Ovis aries: one gene and its partners. The protein of the gene in region 4 purifies or fractionates together with the protein of the main gene of each other region. This does not show direct contact. Links are inferred from orthologs where the notes say so. Each region holds a gene or a part of one and is shown on either strand. Other genes may lie near its edges.

Evidence for each region.
Region 1: the proteins of MAPK7 (region 4) and VBP1 purify together in Homo sapiens (affinity purification with mass spectrometry; 3 studies listed by BioGRID and IntAct, with this or other methods). This does not show direct contact. The link is inferred for Ovis aries from reciprocal best matches to the Homo sapiens genes MAPK7 and VBP1.
Region 2: the proteins of MAPK7 (region 4) and PFDN6 purify together in Homo sapiens (affinity purification with mass spectrometry; 3 studies listed by BioGRID and IntAct, with this or other methods). This does not show direct contact. The link is inferred for Ovis aries from reciprocal best matches to the Homo sapiens genes MAPK7 and PFDN6.
Region 3: the proteins of MAPK7 (region 4) and PFDN1 purify together in Homo sapiens (affinity purification with mass spectrometry; 3 studies listed by BioGRID and IntAct, with this or other methods). This does not show direct contact. The link is inferred for Ovis aries from reciprocal best matches to the Homo sapiens genes MAPK7 and PFDN1.

What each region holds. Positions count from the first base shown.
Region 1 is NC_056080.1:81,701,128-81,705,870, forward strand, and holds the start of VBP1 (prefoldin subunit 3), read left to right. Parts: upstream 1-1,868; 5' UTR 1,869-1,891; coding exon 1,892-1,984; intron 1,985-4,743. UniProt on the Homo sapiens protein: Binds specifically to cytosolic chaperonin (c-CPN) and transfers target proteins to it. Binds to nascent polypeptide chain and promotes folding in an environment in which there are many competing pathways for nonnative proteins.
Region 2 is NC_056073.1:7,615,262-7,618,796, forward strand, and holds PFDN6 (prefoldin subunit 6), read left to right. Parts: upstream 1-1,501; 5' UTR 1,502-1,533; exon of another isoform or gene 1,534-1,593; intron 1,594-1,674; 5' UTR 1,675-1,756; coding exon 1,757-1,820; intron 1,821-2,060; coding exon 2,061-2,131; intron 2,132-2,209; coding exon 2,210-2,334; intron 2,335-2,584; coding exon 2,585-2,714; 3' UTR 2,715-2,794; downstream 2,795-3,535. Other genes in the region: WDR46 (WD repeat-containing protein 46), read right to left, coding at 88-175, 300-412, 545-625, 735-929, 1,029-1,097. UniProt on the Homo sapiens protein: Binds specifically to cytosolic chaperonin (c-CPN) and transfers target proteins to it. Binds to nascent polypeptide chain and promotes folding in an environment in which there are many competing pathways for nonnative proteins.
Region 3 is NC_056058.1:49,170,242-49,174,960, reverse strand, and holds the start of PFDN1 (prefoldin subunit 1), read left to right. Parts: upstream 1-1,863; 5' UTR 1,864-1,879; coding exon 1,880-1,912; intron 1,913-4,472; coding exon 4,473-4,639; intron 4,640-4,719. UniProt on the Homo sapiens protein: Binds specifically to cytosolic chaperonin (c-CPN) and transfers target proteins to it. Binds to nascent polypeptide chain and promotes folding in an environment in which there are many competing pathways for nonnative proteins.
Region 4 is NC_056064.1:33,842,745-33,847,182, reverse strand, and holds the start of MAPK7 (mitogen-activated protein kinase 7), read left to right. Parts: upstream 1-1,586; 5' UTR 1,587-2,330; intron 2,331-2,444; exon of another isoform or gene 2,445-2,818; 5' UTR 2,819-2,823; coding exon 2,824-3,055; intron 3,056-3,655; coding exon 3,656-3,821; intron 3,822-3,827; exon of another isoform or gene 3,828-4,218; intron 4,219-4,438. UniProt on the Homo sapiens protein: Plays a role in various cellular processes such as proliferation, differentiation and cell survival. The upstream activator of MAPK7 is the MAPK kinase MAP2K5.

The DNA of each region.
Region 1 (4,743 bases), on a different chromosome or scaffold from region 4:
TCTTTAACTTCTGTCTTCTGATTTGAGGTTTTGAACAGTTACTAGCACTCTTCATTATGTAAATAAAGACTACTACCAAGTATTTTATGTTTTTTAATTCTACCATAATGGTATTCTTTAATTTCATTTTTTAAGTTTTGTCACTACTATATAAAGGCTCTCACTCTGATCCACCACCACCCATGTTGCAAGGCCTCAAGCCTTGCCACTGTCCCAAGTCCTCAGCCCCTTCACAGTTGAGTCTTACTGCCCTGCCCACTTTCTCCACTCCTGGGATACCAGCCATCCCCCCACCCCTCCAACCCCTCCCTTCTTCCCAGTCGTCTAGCCTTTACCCCACCTCTAGTAGCGCCCTCTTTGCCATCCTCCAAACTCTCCGGGAAACTCTGTCCTTCACCACTCAGTCCAGCTCAAAGCTCTGCCCACTTAACTTAGCAGCTGAACAACAATTGCCTCCCTCTTTCCACTTCTTCATCCTGGCCTAGTTCCCTCACTACTGTAGTCCTACTGTATGCCAAGTACTTATTAGGTATTCTGTGGGAAAAGTGAAAGTGTTAGTCGCTCAGTCGTGTCTGCCTCTTTGCAACTCAATGGACTGTAGCCCATAGCCCGCCGGGCTCCTCTGTCCATGGGATTTTCCTGGCAAGAATACTGGAGGGGGTTGCCATTTCCTTCTCCAGGGGATGTTCCTGACCGAGGGATCGAATCTGTGCATTGCAGGCAGACTCCTTACGATCTGAACCAGCAGGAAAACCCAGGTAGTCTATATACATAATCTCATTTAATCTTTACGACAGCCTTGTTGGTACCCATTGCATTTTAATTTTTAAATAACTCAGGTAGTGTCTTCACCTGTGCTCCTTTCCTACCCTGTGCAGGCAAGATAGAGACGTCCGTGTTTCTTAGTTGTGGTTTGGTCACTAAGTCACGTCTGACTCTGTGACCCCATGGACTGTAGCCCACCAGGCTCCTCTGTCCATGGGATTTCCCAGGCAAGCATACTGGAGTGGGTTGTCCTTTCCTTCCCCAGGGGATCTTCCTGACCCAGGGATTGAACCTGTGTTTCCTGCATCTCCTGCATTGGCAGGTGGATTCTTTACCCACTGAGCCACCAGGGAAGCCCGAGGCAGGAACCAACATGGTGCTCCGATGTCAGAAAACAGGGGGGTAGTGGTGAATGAGCTTGGGGATTCCTTGGGTCTAGAAACATCGGGAAAGTTCTTAGGATTTTGTATTAATATGGACAGTGTGAAGTTTTGAAAACGTTTGAGCTGGTGGTGAGAGTCTGATCAGAGGTGCTTTCGGTAAATTGTGATGCAACGGGCGGGGTATTTATTAGAATCAGGCCACTAGGTCCCCTCGGAAGCAGGCTCAAAACAAGCACCCTTCAGGAGCCAAAAAGCTCGCGAGGATCGTGGGCCCAGAATGTCACCGAGGCCCAAGTCCCGTGGTGGCGTCTAGGTCTCGAGTCTGCTTGAATTCGAGAAGGGATCGGGTAGCTCCGATGGTTCTTCTGGAGAGGCCTGTTCCGGGCTGGCAGTGGAGTCTATTCCGGCTTCTTCCGGGATTGTCCGCATCCTCCAGCCCGCCGCCCCACCCACAAAACCCCCGGAATCCCTTTTCCCAGGACTCGGTATTGGTCCTTCCCGCAGAGCCAGCCTCGCCTCCGCGGCCCTTCCACTCCTGTCACTCACCCGCGCAGCCAATTAGAGCCCACAGATCGAGCGACTCTGCCGAGCGGGGGACGGGGCGGGGGGTATTTCCTGTAAGCCAACGAACGCACAGACTCCCAGGCGGGGGGGCGGGCCCGCGACTGTGACCCGAGCCAATCACAGGCCCCCGGCTACAGGCCGCTCGCGAGGCACGTTAGTCGCGCGCTCGCTTCTCCAAAATGGCGGCCTCTAAGGACGGTTGTGGTGTAGGAGAAGTGGCTGCGGGGAACGGGAGGCGACTCCACCTGGGGATTCCTGAAGCGGTTTTTGTGGTGAGTGGCCAGCGGGTGTTTGATGCTACGCTGTTGTACCCTTTCTTCCTGGCCCCTCACCGGGGACTTGGTTGTTGGGGAGAGAGGCGTTGGGCCCAATTACCTGGGAGGGGGCGCTCCGGCCTGGACGGACTAAACTGGGGCGGGACCTGCCTGGGAGGGGGCCTGCCGTCCGAGCAGGTCACAGGCGCTAAGCGGGCGCGGGGCCGGAGGACTTGGGGGCGGAGGCGGGCCGCTTTGAGGGACCGCCTTCCCCCGCCCTCCGTGGCCTGCGGTTCCGACCCCGCTTCCGAGAAGACGGGAGGCGGTGAGAAGCTGGACCCTCAGCCTGGATTCTGGGGAGACCGAGGGGGACGGGGTAACGGAGCTGGGGCTCAGGTGTGAAGCTCGGAAATGACATCTCGGGTGTAGAAGGGCTGCGGCGGCCTGTGGCTTCCGAAGAAGACCCCATGATGGGGGCGTCGGCCGGGAAAGCTCTCGAAGGCCATGTGAAACCCGCTAGGCCATGGAGGCCTTAGCCCGCTGGCTGCGGGCGCTCATTAGACAGTGAAATTGCAGAGTCGTGTCCAACTCTGTGACCCCATGGACTGTAGCCTACCAGGCTCCTCAGTCCATGGGATTTTCCAGGCAGGAATACTGGAGTGGGTTGCCATTTCCTTCTAGTGAAGCCACTTGTAATCACTTTGAGGTACACGGTTCTAACAACGTAGAGAGTCCATAGGGTGCAGTTCACAGAGGAAGCCGGCAGTGCAGTATTGGAGGGTTCATTGAACGGGGAGACTAAACCAAGGCCAAACAGAGAAGCACGTAGAGGCTTTCAATCCTGTCTCTCCATAAGGCTGTACTCGAAATAGTGTTTGAGAACTAGTTGAGTGTTGAGAAAACCTGATGGGTGTTCCAGGCCAGTATCACCCATCTTTCTCCACTCAGTTCTGGCTGAACTACTATGAAACCTTAATGGAAATTTCTCCACCTTTTGCTTTGTCCCGATATTGTCTTAATCTCTGCCTTTAAAAAGAATTTATTTATTTTAATTGGAGGCTAATTACTTTACAATATTGTACTGGTTTTTGCCATACATTGACATGAATCAGCCAGTGGTGTACATATGTTTCCCATCGTGAATCACCCTCCCACCTCCCTCCCCATCCCATCTCTCAGGGTCGTCCCAGTGCACCAGCCCTGAGCACCCTGTCTTATGCATCGAACCTGGATTGGCTTTTTGTTGATGAAATCGTCCACCGTTCAGAAGACCCTTGTCTTTTATTTAGACCACTTTTATATGCACTGTATGAATATTTGCATTGGCTGACTCAGTTTTGTCCTATTTTATTTTATTTTTGTCCTTGAAGTGTGCCATGTATTTCCTTCCACTCATCTCCCACTTAATCATCAACAAGAGACAAAATTTGTTGAGTACCAGGCACATTCTAATGCTTTTACACAACTCAGTAAGAGGCAAATACTGTTATTCTCATTTTGTACATGTTCAGACTGAGCCCCAGAGCCCTTGAGTAATTTGCCCCAAGTCACACAATGTGTGAGTGAGTTATCCAAGCTTTAAACTTGGTCAGTCTGTGGGCTCCAGACCTCTACTTCCATGCCATGCTCTGCTGCTGGGAGGAAAGTGAGGTCATTATCTTGCCCCCGATCCTAGCACAGTGCCTGACACACAGTATAAACTCATAACTAAATGTCAGATTGAATTTCCATAATGCCTTAAAATCCTGCATTCATGGTGCTTAACAAATGATGGCTTCAGAAATCTAATTCAGGAAGATGAAGTTTATCAAGGGGCTATATAAAGTGTTATCTTAAAATGCATTTTCTCTAAAATGTTATGAGTTGCTTTTTCTAGATCTTTAAAATTTCCATCAATACATTATATAAACAATCCACATTTATATAAATATTTTAATGTTCCCCAACTAATGGGAAATAGCATGGTATTTTAGAAAGAACATTGGTTTCGAGACTAGAGTTTGAATCCTGCCTCTGCTTCCCAGTTGCTGCTTATCTTGAGCATATTGTTTTACAACTTTGAGCCCCTCTGTTTCTTAACTGAAATAAGGATAACATTACTTACAGATTTCTTCTGAGAAACAGAGAATGTGCTTTCAGTATTGCAAGTAGATACTTAATACATATTCATTTCGGTAATAAGGCAATGTACCATAGTGGTTAGAAGTCAGATTGCCTTTTCCCCATTCCAGTTGGTACAGTAATTTTTTTCTTTCTCTGCTTTAATTGATCTTTTCCCCCCTTGTCCATTGTTTGGCTGCACCATCTCTCAACATCTAGTTCAGATATGATCTCTGTAGTTTTTTCTGACCACCACCCTGGGGTAGAATTCTTGGTGCTTCCATCTGTTCCCTTAGCCATATCTAATGTTTGTTGAACACTTACTAGCTTCTGTGTCCTCTTCTGAGTCTTTGACATGTGGTAACTCATTTAATCCCCTGTAGGGAAGAGGCACTTTTTTCTTTTACAGATGAGGAAATTGAGGCCAAGACAAGAATTAAACAACTGCCTCACGGTCCACACAGCTAGTACGTGATGCAGCCAGCATTCAAGCCATGCAGCTCCTGGGTCTTAACCACAGACTTTTGCTGCTGTAGTTCCTTCTCCTTGCTCGTGTCTAAGCTTCTAATAACATGTGCCAGAAACATTTCTTTTCCTATAACAATCCTTCTAGGAAGATGCTATCTCCAAAATGCTATCTCCTTGCACTTGATCGCCATGCAGAACTCAGCTGTTGC
Region 2 (3,535 bases), on a different chromosome or scaffold from region 4:
TCAGGACTCTTCTCTCCTAGTCCCCACTCCCGTCTTACTCTGCACCATCAGCCAACCCACTGGCCCCTTTTCCATTCTCAGACTCACTTTGGCTGCACTCGCAATGTCCACAGCCTCCACGATGTCAGCCTGGCGAATCTTTGCCGTGTCCTCCCCATCCTCTCCTTCCAGAAACCTGCAAGTGAGCGTGAGAGTTGCATTAAAGCTTCCTAATAAGAAGTGGGTATCCCAGCATCACAATCAGAAATTAGAGCCCCATAAATCAGGGATTGGGGAGGCCCACATCAGGGTCCACTCACCCAGGTTCTTCAGCAAGCAGAAGCTCAGATCGAGCAGCTCTGACACTTGTTTCCTCTTCTTGTGCTTCAGCCACCGCAAGTCGGCTTCGTGTCTTGGTCTTCGCATGTGGTAGCTAAAACAGCGGTGAGAGATGAAGTGAGAGAAGGACCAAGGGATGCGGGGGTCACAGGAGAGCCCCGCCTCCATTCAACTCACCCAGACACTCCCTCCTGCAACCGCTCCCCACTCTCCGACTAGCCCTCACCTCCTTGGATTTGTCAATGCGACAGTACTTCCGAACCACCTCCACACTGACAGGGGCGGGGCCTGCAAATGGGTCCTGGGCCTGCGGCAGGGAGGAGGCAATTAAGAAACAGGCTCGAGCTGACCCCAACCCCCCGACCCTGAAAGCACAAGGCGACTTGCCTCGGCACCCCGGGAGGTCCCAGGCTCACCCCAGAAAAGGTCCGCTGAGGCCCCGGACTCTTCAGTTCTCGGGGTTTCTTGGAGATCCGAAACTTCTTTGAGGTGTCATTTCTCTTTGGCTTCTGGGGGCGGAGCTCTCGACTCCTCTTCCGTTTATGAGGGGGACCTGGAGAAGCTCCGGCCGCAGTCCCAGTGGTCTCTTGCTCCCAGTATCGCCGCGGTTTCTACCAACAGAGCAGGATCCCTCGTATTCCGCTGCCCTTCGCCCCGCCCCTCGAACCCCGCAAATAAAAACTTCCTTTCCACCCCAAGGAGATCCCTACCTTCTTCTTGGCTTGCAGTCTGTCCTTCTTGGGTGGAACATTACTGCCCGGCTTGGGGACTGTCTCCATCTAGCCCACTCGAACCACGATCCACGTGCAAACTCCTCTCCACAGTCCCACAGTGTGATGGAAAACTCCCGGAAGTCCTCCGAGACTCATCCAATCAGCGCCGTTCCAGGTCTGAAGCCTCCTAGGCGCCATCTTTAATGAGGGCGCGCTCCCCACTGAGGGGCGGGACCAAGGCCCCCAGTGCGGCAACTTATGCCCAAGTGATGAAAGACGGGCAGTCCGAGGCCAAGACCCAAGCAACCCTGCAGTTTCTTTTCCCATCTCGGTTTCTCCATCTTGCCTTAAATCCTTCCGCTTCTGGTCTTTTTAGCAGAACGCCACACATTGACCATATTAGAACTACATTTCCCGGCGTGCGCCGGCTCACAGCTTCCGGTGCCGTCTTTCCCCAGCATTCTCTATTTACTTCCGGGTTCACCAATACTGAAGTGAGAGCGTGAGTAGGGGAGCGGTTCGGCTGAGGAGTTCGGGGTACTGCCACTCCCTGAGGCTGGGGGTGAGTCGATATCCCGGACCAGGAGAGACTGCAGTGGGTGGCCCGAGGGGCTGCCTCTCAAGAGGGCTGTCACCTCCGCAGGCCAGAAAGGGGAGCCCGGGTACCTTCCAGAGCGTGAGACCCAGCGCCCCTCTCCCGCTGCCCGCAGGCTTTCGTCCCCGCCATGGCTGAGCTAATCCAGAAGAAGCTGCAGGGGGAAGTGGAGAAATATCAACAGCTGCAGAAGGGTAAGGGAGCAGGGTAGGGGTGACCTCGCGGCAATTCACTCACAACCTGTCTATACCCGAATAATGTATTCTGTCCCACCTCTGGCCCCAGCCTGCGGCTCCTTCCCCTTCTCTGTAGTCTTCCCATTCCCTGTCCCGCCTGCTCATCCTTGCCTGCTTCCTCAGCTCCGCCTTCTTACCAGGACTGTGGTGGTCGGGTGGCACATGAGATGTCTCTAAACAAACCTTTTCATCCGGCAGACTTGAGTAAATCCATGTCAGGGAGGCAGAAACTAGAGGCACAACTAACAGAAAATAATATCGTGAAGGAGGTGAGAGACTGAGATTTGTGGGGCGAGGGGGGACCTGTCTTGGAAGTGATTCTGATGTTTTTCCCACTCCTCCACCAGGAACTGGCCCTGCTGGATGGGTCCAACGTGGTGTTTAAACTTCTGGGGCCCGTGTTGGTCAAACAGGAGCTGGGGGAAGCTCGGGCCACAGTGGGGAAAAGGCTGGACTACATCACAGCTGAGATGTGAGTCTTCCTTCCACCCCACTGTGTTATACTTGATCCGTTGGGAATAAAGGTGCTGAGAAACCTTTCTAGAGTCATTCTCCAGAGCAGCCCCCATTTGAGCAGGTTCTTCAACTCCTTCCTGTGTCCTTCAACTCCTTCCCTTTTCTTCATACTCCCCTTAGAGCTCAAGTTTCTGACCAATCTTGTCTTCAGCACCCTCAAGAGTAAGTCTCACTAATTTCTCATTTGCTTTTTTGCCCTTCCTCAGTAAGCGGTATGAATCCCAGCTCCGAGACCTAGAGCAGCAGTCAGAACAACAGAGGGAGACCCTGGCTCAGCTGCAGCAGGAGTTTCAGAGGGCGCAGGCGGCAAAGGCAGGGGCTCCTGGGAAAGCCTGACCCTGTCCTGGGGGGGTGGGCGGGGGGAGGAATGCGGCAGCTCTAGGGTCTATACTGTAGCTAATAAAATGTGAAAATACCTGGCGTGTTCTGACCAGCCACTTCTGTTGTAACTGTCTCCATCCTTTCCTCTGGTCCCTTCTCCCTCACCCCTATATCACCTGCATTACTCTCTTAGATCCAAATTTGTGCACTGAAATTTGTGTGTGGCAGAGTAACCCTTCTTTCTTGAGACTAAACTCCGAAATGTCTCAAACCTAATCCTTGCCTGTACATGCAAGCCTTAACTCTCTCTTCTCTTGATTGGAAGCAACCAAGAAAAGGGCATTGACAGTGAAACAATTTGGGGGAAAGTTAAGTTTCATTGAAAAACTCACAATTCTCTAACCTGCAGTCCCAGAATGGAACATGGTAATCCTCTTTTGCTATGATTTCTTGTCATCCTCAGAATAGCCCTGGCATCTTAGTTCTTTTTAGTCTCTTTTCTTCCTAGACTTTGTTTAAATGTAGCTTAAATTGGATTTCATATCCCAGCACATAATGCATTGTGATATTCTGAGACCTCCAAGTTTGTACATTGTCCACGAAGTGGTTCTTCCATTTCTTTGTCCTAACATTGTCTTAGGAATTCAGAGCCAAGGGTGTTTTTCATACTGATGGCTTTAATTGGGTACTTGACGTGGGTGTGTAACAACTGAGGAGAAAAACGAAAGAGCCAATAACAGGACCAGGGGTGGGGAGGTTGCTGGGGAGGCATAAACCATTCTGAGGAAACTGTTCCCACCAAGCCCTTGCATCCAGCTTTTGAAGATAGATGCGGT
Region 3 (4,719 bases), on a different chromosome or scaffold from region 4:
ACTCCCTTGCACCCTAGAGTCTGTGCTCCACAACGAGAGAAGCCACCACAATGAGAAGTCCATGCACCACAACTAGAGAGTGCAGCAATGAAGACCCAGTATGGCCAAAAAGAAATAAATAACATTAAAAATTTTTTCCTTTCTATCCCTTCCTCCTGGCCCCTGGCAACACTATTCTACTTTCTGTCTTTATGATTTTGTCTACTCTGAGTCCCTCATATTGGAGAAGGACATGGCAACCACTTCAGTATTCTTGCCTGGGAAATCCCATGGACAGAGATGACTGGCTAGCTATAGTCTATGGGGTTACAAGAGTCAGACACAATCTAGTGACTAAACCACCACCACCACCACCAAGTTCCTTGTACAATGGAATCATACAGTATTTGTCTTTTTGTGACTGGTTTATTTCACTTAGCATAATGTCCTCACATTTTGTTTATCCATTTGTCGAATGATGGACATTTGAACAGCTAATAAGTCTAATAAAAAAAAATTTTTAAGACAGATAGTGTCATGTGTCTTGAAAAAGGAACAGAAGTAGTCTTGAAATTCCAAGGAGAGATTATTTATGGTCTGTGTGATGTAAAAAATAAAAAAAATACATAATGGATACATATTATGTGTCTGCTGCTTGCTGTATCTTGAAAGACAAATATAACAATGCTAACTACATGAACTTAATTATACCTTTTTATTGTGTGCCTACTGTGTGCATTGTGCTATGCTTGGAGCTTTCCATCCTGATCTTGTTTACTCCTCAGAATAACTCTGTTAGGTCAGTACTGTTATTCTCATATTAAATGAGGAGACAGACTCTGTTGATACACAACTAGTAAATGGAAGCAGACATACCTACGCTCAGTGTAGACCAAACCTTGAATACAGATTTGTTTAGTTCCAAACTCCCTGCCCTTTCCCCTGCCTCACAGGTTTTTAGAGTAAGGAAGATATCCATTTCTTTCATGTCCATCCTTCTAGTCATCCTTCTGGTTCAAATGCCAGCTATTTTACAGCAGATTTTCAAAATGTGGTTTGCAGTCCACTTAGATCAGATCATAAAAGGAGTTTGCAAAAGTATGTATTTCTGTGCCCCATATCAAAGATTCTAAGTAAGTTTGGGATGAGGATCAGAGAATCTGCATTTTTTTTTTCTTTTAAAAAGAAATTTGGTTTCTCGTGAGAACTCCTGTGTCTACAAGGTCTTCTGAGAACATTCAGTATAAATAAGTTCTTTGGGAAAACGCTTCAACTAAGCCTTCTGGACACGGCTGAGCGACTGAACTGAACTGAAGCCTTCTGGTCTTCTCCATGCTGCCATGTCTGAAACTCAGGCTGATTCTTTCTCATCCCTCCCTGACAGCACAGGACTCGCTGAAGGCATGAATGACTTTAAAGGTTTTAGCTTGATCTACATACATCTTAATTTAGCGACACAAACTAAACTATTTGTCGAAGTGGTTAAAACCACACACGAGGGGACGGAGGCGGGAGGGGGGTTCAGGATGGGGAACACGTGTACACCCGTGGCGGATTCATGTTGATGTATGGCAAAACCAATACAATATTGTAATTAGTCTCCAATTAAAATAAATAAATTTATATTAAAAAAACACACACACGAAATCTGCAGATTGTGCCGTGTTTGGAAGGATGTGGAGAATCACGGCAGGCCCATAGGTCACGTGGGGAAGACGTACTCTGAATCGGAATCCCGGTTATTTCAGGCGTTAATAACGACGGGGAAGGTAGGAAAACCAAGCAGCCCCACTCATGCGCAGGCGCAGAAGGAAGAGGCCCTATCAAATCTTCAGGGCGCGCCCTTCCCCCACGCTCTTTCCGGGCTTCTCCCACTGCGCAGGCGCAGTAGTGAAGCAAGATGGCGGCCCCCGTGGATCTGGAGTTGAAGAAGGTAAAAGAGGGTCTTGAGCAGGCAGAAGCTTTTCTTTGGAAGCTAAGGCGACTGTGGACAATAATGTCGAGTGAGTCTCGAGTGCTGCGGAAGGAAAGAGGCCCCAGGGAAATGGGGAGTGGTTTCTCAGAGTGCAAAGGCGGGACCGGGCCTCCTTAGGCGGGAGTCGAGGGCGAGCGGCTCTTTGCCGGGTAAGAGCCGGTTGGGCTGGGCCTGGTTAAGTTTGGCGGGCCTATAGCTGTTTTGTTCCCTTGTTCCGAGCTCCAGAGACCTTTCGTTGCTCTTGGTGCCTTCAGTTCCATAGTGAGGCCTGAAATGAGCGCTTCCAGTTGGAGCCTCTTAGCCTGCTTGCCCGAGCTGTAGCATCTGTAATTCTGTATACTAATTTGCTTTGAAAAACTCCAAGTCCAGTCTGTTTTTAGGTCAGTTCTTTAATCCCATATCTTGTAAGGTCGCTTCATACAGTTCAGTCAGGTATCCTCGTAGCAATGTTCATCTTAGGGCTTTGCCAACAACCGCCCCCTCCCCACCCTCGTTTTTAAAGATTTGTCAAAGAAGAAACAAGTCAAAGGTTTCCAGATCAAATTGGTATCAGAAGGAATTGAGTTTCTCTCTTCAAACAATTGCCTAGAAATGTGTTGTTACACAGAAATGTTTTCACCACCTGAGAGTTGTCAGGATTCTAACACCACTACCGACTCAAAAGCGTATCCTTTTTTTTTTTTTTTTTTTTGCGAAGAGAAGGAGAATGGGGATTGGAAAGGAGCCTAGACTTCATCTACTTTAAACTGATACTTTTCTAGAAAAGGAAACAGTTTAACAGAAGAGTCAGCCCAAGCTTGGTTCTAGAATATTGCATTCTCTGCCTCACTTTCCACCTTTTGACCACTACTTGAGGTTAGAAGAGCAAATTTTGTTTAAGACTGTCTTGTAATCTATCTTTGCATGAGAAATAAGACAGTTGAAGTAGCTCTTCCACGTAATAGATGAAGCAGTGTATTATTGCTCTGAGGATTTGTGTGTGTGTATTGCCTTTTGTTTGGAACTTGTACCTTTACTCCTTATGGTGCTGTCTAGTGCTGTATTATCTCAGCTTTAACAAAATACTAGCTTCCTTACCAAACTGTGTCTTAAAGTGTTTTAAAAGTTTACCTTTTTTTTCCGTTAAAAGTTCAAATTTAAGTTAGGGTTTAGTGAGAGCTAACAATAGAATACAGCTATGAATGGACTTACCCCTCAGTATTATTTCAGTCTGTTGCTGGGAAACCTGTGGACAGTGAATGCAAACTAAGAAGATAATTACAGACTTAAATTGGGTAGTTTTGTCAACCAATAAAATTACAGAAGAAACTTGTTTAAAGGTCTTTTAATGTTTATAATTTTGGGGGGAGGGGAAGGGATGGAGACTAATAGGAAACTTTAGGTACCTCCTCTCCCCTCTAGATAAACCTTTTGAAACCTTACTAGTAGGTGAGAACAAAGTCAGAATAAAAGTTAGTAGCTTTTTGCCATGTATTGCAGCCACAGATGTTATTATTAAGTCAGAATTTGACAGCATGTGAAAATCATTCTAGGCACTTCAGAAGTATCAAAAACCTTTTAACAGTACTCAGAGGTCAAGTTTGGCTTATCGTGTGCATATGAAGATCATGATGCAATTCTTTTATCAATGCTTTGAATTTTTTTGTGTGTCTTTCTCTTAAAATATTCATTTTCTGAATATTACTGTGGATAGTAGAGTAGAAAGATTCAGTAACTAGCGGTCAGAAGTTAATTAAGTACTTGGTTTTTGACCTAGTAGTTGCTCAGCCCTGTGAAAGTCATTTATATCTCTTTAAAACATTTAGTTAATTTGTAAACTGTGCTGATGAATCTGCCATCCTTAACTCAGGATTATTGAAAAGAGAAAATGAGACATTTATTATATGTCAGTATTCTCATATTAATATTCACATGTTAATATTTCAAACAAGTGTGGGAAAGTGCTTTAAATAATCTTGAGTAGTACAGATGTGGTGAGTTGTTACATTAATGGTTCCTGATTTGGGTCTCTGGGTTTGTGATTGTTGCCTTTAGAGCTTTTATTAATCCTTGGGTACCTGCTACTTGATATGGTTGTTATTTACCGTGCCTTTGTTCAGCTTCTTCAGATAGGTTGCATCTTCTGAGGACTGGGTAAGTTCAGTACAGTTGACTCTTGAACAGCATTGGTTTAAACGTCAGGGATCCAGTTGTACACAGATTTTTAAAATAGTAAATACTAGAGTACTACATGATATGTAGTTGGTTGAATCAACAAATGTAGAACCAGGGATACAAAGGAACTGCTATATGGAGAGTCAACTATAAATTATACTTGGATTTTCAACTGCACAGAGGGTCAGTGCTTCTAATCACTGAATTGTTCAGGGCTCAAGTTTTTAGCAGACTGGCTTTGAGATGTTTGCTGTGGTAAATTTCACGGCTTTGTCTGTTTAACAGGCTTCATTTTAATAGATTTGATATAGACATTTACTGTAAAATGTTGCACCTACTAAATCAAGGACTTATTTCTTTTTAGGCCTTCACAGAGCTTCAAGCCAAAGTTATTGACACTCAACAGAAGGTGAAGCTTGCAGATGTACAGATTGAACAGCTGAACAGAACGAAAAAGCATGCACATCTTACAGATACAGAGATTATGACTTTGGTAGATGAGACTAACATGTATGAAGGTGTAGGAAGAATGTAAGTAAAGTATATCCTTAAGGGGGTTATCCTGAAAGAAGTTTACCTGAATTAAGTCATAGAATTTGTTCACTTTACAA
Region 4 (4,438 bases):
AGTAGTCAGTTGTGTCATATGAAGTAAGCTCATAAGGCAAGGCTGGAGAATGTTAGATAACTGACAACTTTCTCAGGACAGAGTCAGGGTCTAGTAGGGGGAGAAGTAAAGCAGCTCATGATGAATTCAAAAGTAAATGAAGGGACTTCTCTGGTGGTTCAGTGGTTAAGAATCTGTCTTGTAATGCAGGGATCGGTGGGTTCAATGCCTGGTTGGAGAACTAGGTAGGATCCCACATGCCCCAGACCAACTAAGCCTGTGTGCTGCAGCTACTGACTTTGCATGCTCTGGAGCCACTCAGTGCAGCCAAACAAATAAGTAAAATATTTTTTAAAAAGTAAATGAGAAACAGGGAGGTTTTGCCAGAGAAAGTTGAATCGTCTATAACTTGTATACCAATTCTAGCTGAAATATTTCTAAAGAAGTATTTAAAGCATTCAAAATGTATGGGTCTTTTCTGCTATCTTATGCTTTATTCCTTTAGCAGACCAGATTGTCACAGAACTGGGCATTGGGTTCCCTGAGAAGACATGTTTCTGGGTCCTGCAGGTTTATGCCCTCTCTTTTCACTGATGGACACTGCAGAACTTAATGCACACATACGTCAGAGTTAAGGAAGGTTGTCTACCGTGTCACTTAAGGAAAGGCCATCATGGAAATGTTTTCAGAACTCAGTGCAGAAAATGTCCACTCCCCATGAATATGGTTTATTAATGGTCAAGGCAAATCATGTAACAGATAATCTGGCTTTTTGCTATGCTTTCAGGAAAACCAGAACCAAAGGTATGGTTAACTCAGGAGGTCCAAGTGATCTTTCCATGTTTAAATACGAGGTATTTATTTGTCCTGCTGCTGCTGCTGCTAAGTCACTTCAGTTGTGTCCGACTCTGTGCGACCCCAGAGACAGCAGCCCACCAGGCTCCCCCGTCCCTGGGATTCTCCAGGCAAGAACACTGGAGCGGGTTGCCATTTCCTTCTTCAATGCATGAAAGTGAAAAGTGAAAGTGAAGTCGCTCAGTCATATCCGACTCTTAGCGACCCCATGGACTGCAGCCTACCAGGCTCCTCCGTCCACAGGATTTTCCAGGCAAGAGTACTGGAGTGGGGTGCCATTGCCTTCTCCATTTATTTGTCCTAGAGCTGACGTTACGCTCTCAGACATTTTCCCTGATGTTGTATTTTTAAAATGCAATCTCCACTTTTCCATCTTAATGTATGGGCCCCAGTGAATCTCCTAGAATTCACGGCAACCGACCCCCAAAGTATGGAAAAGAGTCAACAGAAAGAAGTTGTAACCACTAGAAAAGAGAAAGGGTTTCTGAAGTGCTGGAAATGTTCTCGATTTTTTTTTTCCTCCACGTGACTTCGATATACTGATATGTTCAGTTTGTGAATTTATTCATACACTTACGCTGTGTGGAACTTCCTGTAAGTATGTTTTAGTAAAAAATAAACCTCCCAACAGTGGGGAATGTAAACAAAATTCCTTTCCAGTCTAAGGGATGGACCCTCCCTAGGGCCCTCAGGCCTAACTTCTGGGATCCCCGCCCCCTGGCTCTCTTCTCCTCAGTCACTGGAGGACACACGACCTCCCGTGAGCCGCCTCAGGACGCAGAGGATCAGCGCTCGGCGCGCACTCGCTGCGAGGTCGAACGCTGGCCCTGAAGATTGGCAGGGCACTGGCTCCGGCGGAGCTCTGCCTCCTCCAGGCGCAGCTGACCCTGTGGCCCTGCCTGCTGCCCTGCAGCCACAGCGCGGGAGTCGCTGGACGGAGCCGCCCCACGGAAGGTTCACGGCAGAGGCTAGCGAACCGCTGGCCGAAGTCCGGGGCGCCGGAAGCTGAGCTGAGAGGACAGATACCGGAAGTCAGGGCGGCTTTGAGCCGACGCTCTAGAACCCGGAGGACCGGGATCTCTGTGGTTGGATGTGACGGATCACCGTCTACCTGGGACCACGCATTCCCAAGCGCCAGGCTTCCGGGGCCCATCGGGAAAACGGGGGACGCAAAACTCGGGCTTATAGGGGCTGATAAGGGAAGAGGGGCCTAAAGGGGACTGAGTGATGGTAACTACCGGTAACAGCCCTCCAAGATCCCGAGGCCACCAGCAACTGACCAGAGAGGACCTGGAAGATCGGAGCGGATGCGCGCGCGCGCACGTAGGAGGCGGTGCCTCGCAGTCTCGCGGCGCCCGGGGCTGCTGGCGCGCCTGCGTCCGAGGACCGAGCCAGGCGGCCGCGCCCCGGCTAAGCGCCGAGCGCGGGTTGGGTGGTTCCCTCCTGGAGACTGGACCAAGGCGCGGGCGCGGGTGAAGGCGTGGCTTCCTCGGAAGGTAGGCGCGGATTGGGGGAGCAAGTGGAAGGGGTGGGGACCTCAGTAAAGGCCATTCAAGGACTGGTCAGAGGCTGAGGGGAGTGGTCTTGAGGGGGCGGGGCGGGAGACCGGCGGAGTTGAGCGTTCCGCTGAGGTGGTGGCGGCTGCCAGACCTATTGAGGGAGCGGGTATTCGGGTCCCACCCCCCAACCCCGACCCCGGGGCTGGACGCCTGGGCGGCGTCGAGGGCCCGAGCGGCGTCGGGGTGAGGCACCATTAGCCTAGTGAGGACCAAGAAGAGCGGGCGGCCCGCCCCTCGCTTTCTTCCTGGACCGCGCCTCGCGGCGCCTCCCCCACCGCCGACCCCGCTTCCCGCGCTGGATTGAGCTGGGGGCTCCCGAGCGTGCGGGACGCGGAGTGCACGTGCTGCTCGGCCTGCGGGTCTGGAGCCTCCGAGGGGCCCCTGAGTCCGGGGCCGGGCCCCTCCTCGCCCGCGTGTCCACGCAGACGCCATGGCCGAGCCCCTGAAGGAGGACGACGGTGAGGACGGTTCCGGGGAGCCCCCTGGGCCGGTGAAAGCGGAACCCGCTGGCACCGCCGCCTCGGTGGCGGCCAAGAACCTGGCCCTGCTGAAGGCGCGGTCCTTCGACGTGACCTTCGACGTGGGGGACGAGTACGAGATCATCGAGACCATTGGCAACGGGGCCTACGGGGTAGTGTCCTCCGCGCGCCGCCGCCTCACTGGTGAGCGACCCTCCCGGCCGCTCTCATGTGTGGGAACCAAGTCCTGGGGGGGTGGGACCCGCCGTCCCAGCAGCCAGCAGAGAAGCTGGGATGTGAAATCTCAGTCAAGTCAGCAAGCAGGGGTTGGGCGCTGTCTGGGGGCCGGCCTCTGTGTTGGGCTCGGGTCTCTAGAAACTCTGCTGGCTCTGCCAGCGCAGCAGTCTGCTTCCTCCTTAGAAAGGTGACAGTCTGGGTGATATCAGAATGGAGGTTCACCGGAGTGCGTTGTGGAGCAGACAGCAGGCATTGGGTTGGTGGTGGGATGAAGAGGCCTGAGACGCACAGAGTGTAGGGCGGTACTGCTAACTAGCTGTGCAGTGTGCCCAACAAATTGCTGTGCCCAGGTCTCCATGTCTGTGACTTTGAGCTGTGTACCTGCCTTGGGACAGAGGTGAAGGGGAGATGTGGTCATGTACCTACTGTGCTCAGCACAGGATCTGGCACATAGTAGGTCCTCTGTGGTAGCTGTTGTCACATGCATAGCATATCGAAAGAGGCCATGTGCTACTCTGCAGCTCACCAGCTATCCCAAGTGGCATCTACTTTTCCCCTGTTCCCCAGGCCAGCAGGTGGCCATTAAGAAGATCCCTAATGCTTTTGACGTGGTGACCAATGCCAAGCGGACCCTCAGAGAGCTGAAGATCCTCAAGCACTTCAAGCATGACAACATCATTGCCATAAAGGACATCCTGAGGCCCACTGTACCCTATGGCGAGTTCAAATCTGTGTAAGGAGCAGGGATAGGGAGGGAGGCAGAGTTGGCACCTTTTCTGAAGGCTGGAGCCACTCTGCTAAAGTTCTGGAAGGGCAGCTGAACCTAATGTAGGGTAGGCTGGGGAAATTCCCATGACTCCAGGACCAGTGCTCCCTAAGGGTTTGCCAGGGACAGCTATGATTTCTTCAAAGAAAGTATAGAAGTGACAGGTTTATAGAATCTCAGTATGTGTGCATGCTAAGTCACTTCAGTCATGTCTTGACTTTTTGCGACCCTGTGGACTGTAGCTTGCCAGGCTCCTCTGTCCCTGGGGATTCTCCAGGCAAGGATGCTCAAGTGGGTTCCCATGCCCTCCTCCAAGAGATCTTTCCTGACTCAGAGATCGAACCCGCGTCTCCTGCGTTGGCAGGTGGGTTCTTTACTGCTGGTGCCACCTGGGAAGCCCAGAATCTCAGTATATAGCATGGCAAATGTAGGGTATTCATCCTATGTCTGTTCTTTCCTATTCCAGTAGCAGACGTCACTAGTCAGTCACAGAACACTGTCCTGCAGATTGCAGAAGCCTTTAAATTTTCATCATAGCCTTTCAAGCAGCCACTACCACACAACGAAGAGGGCCCCCAAACTAA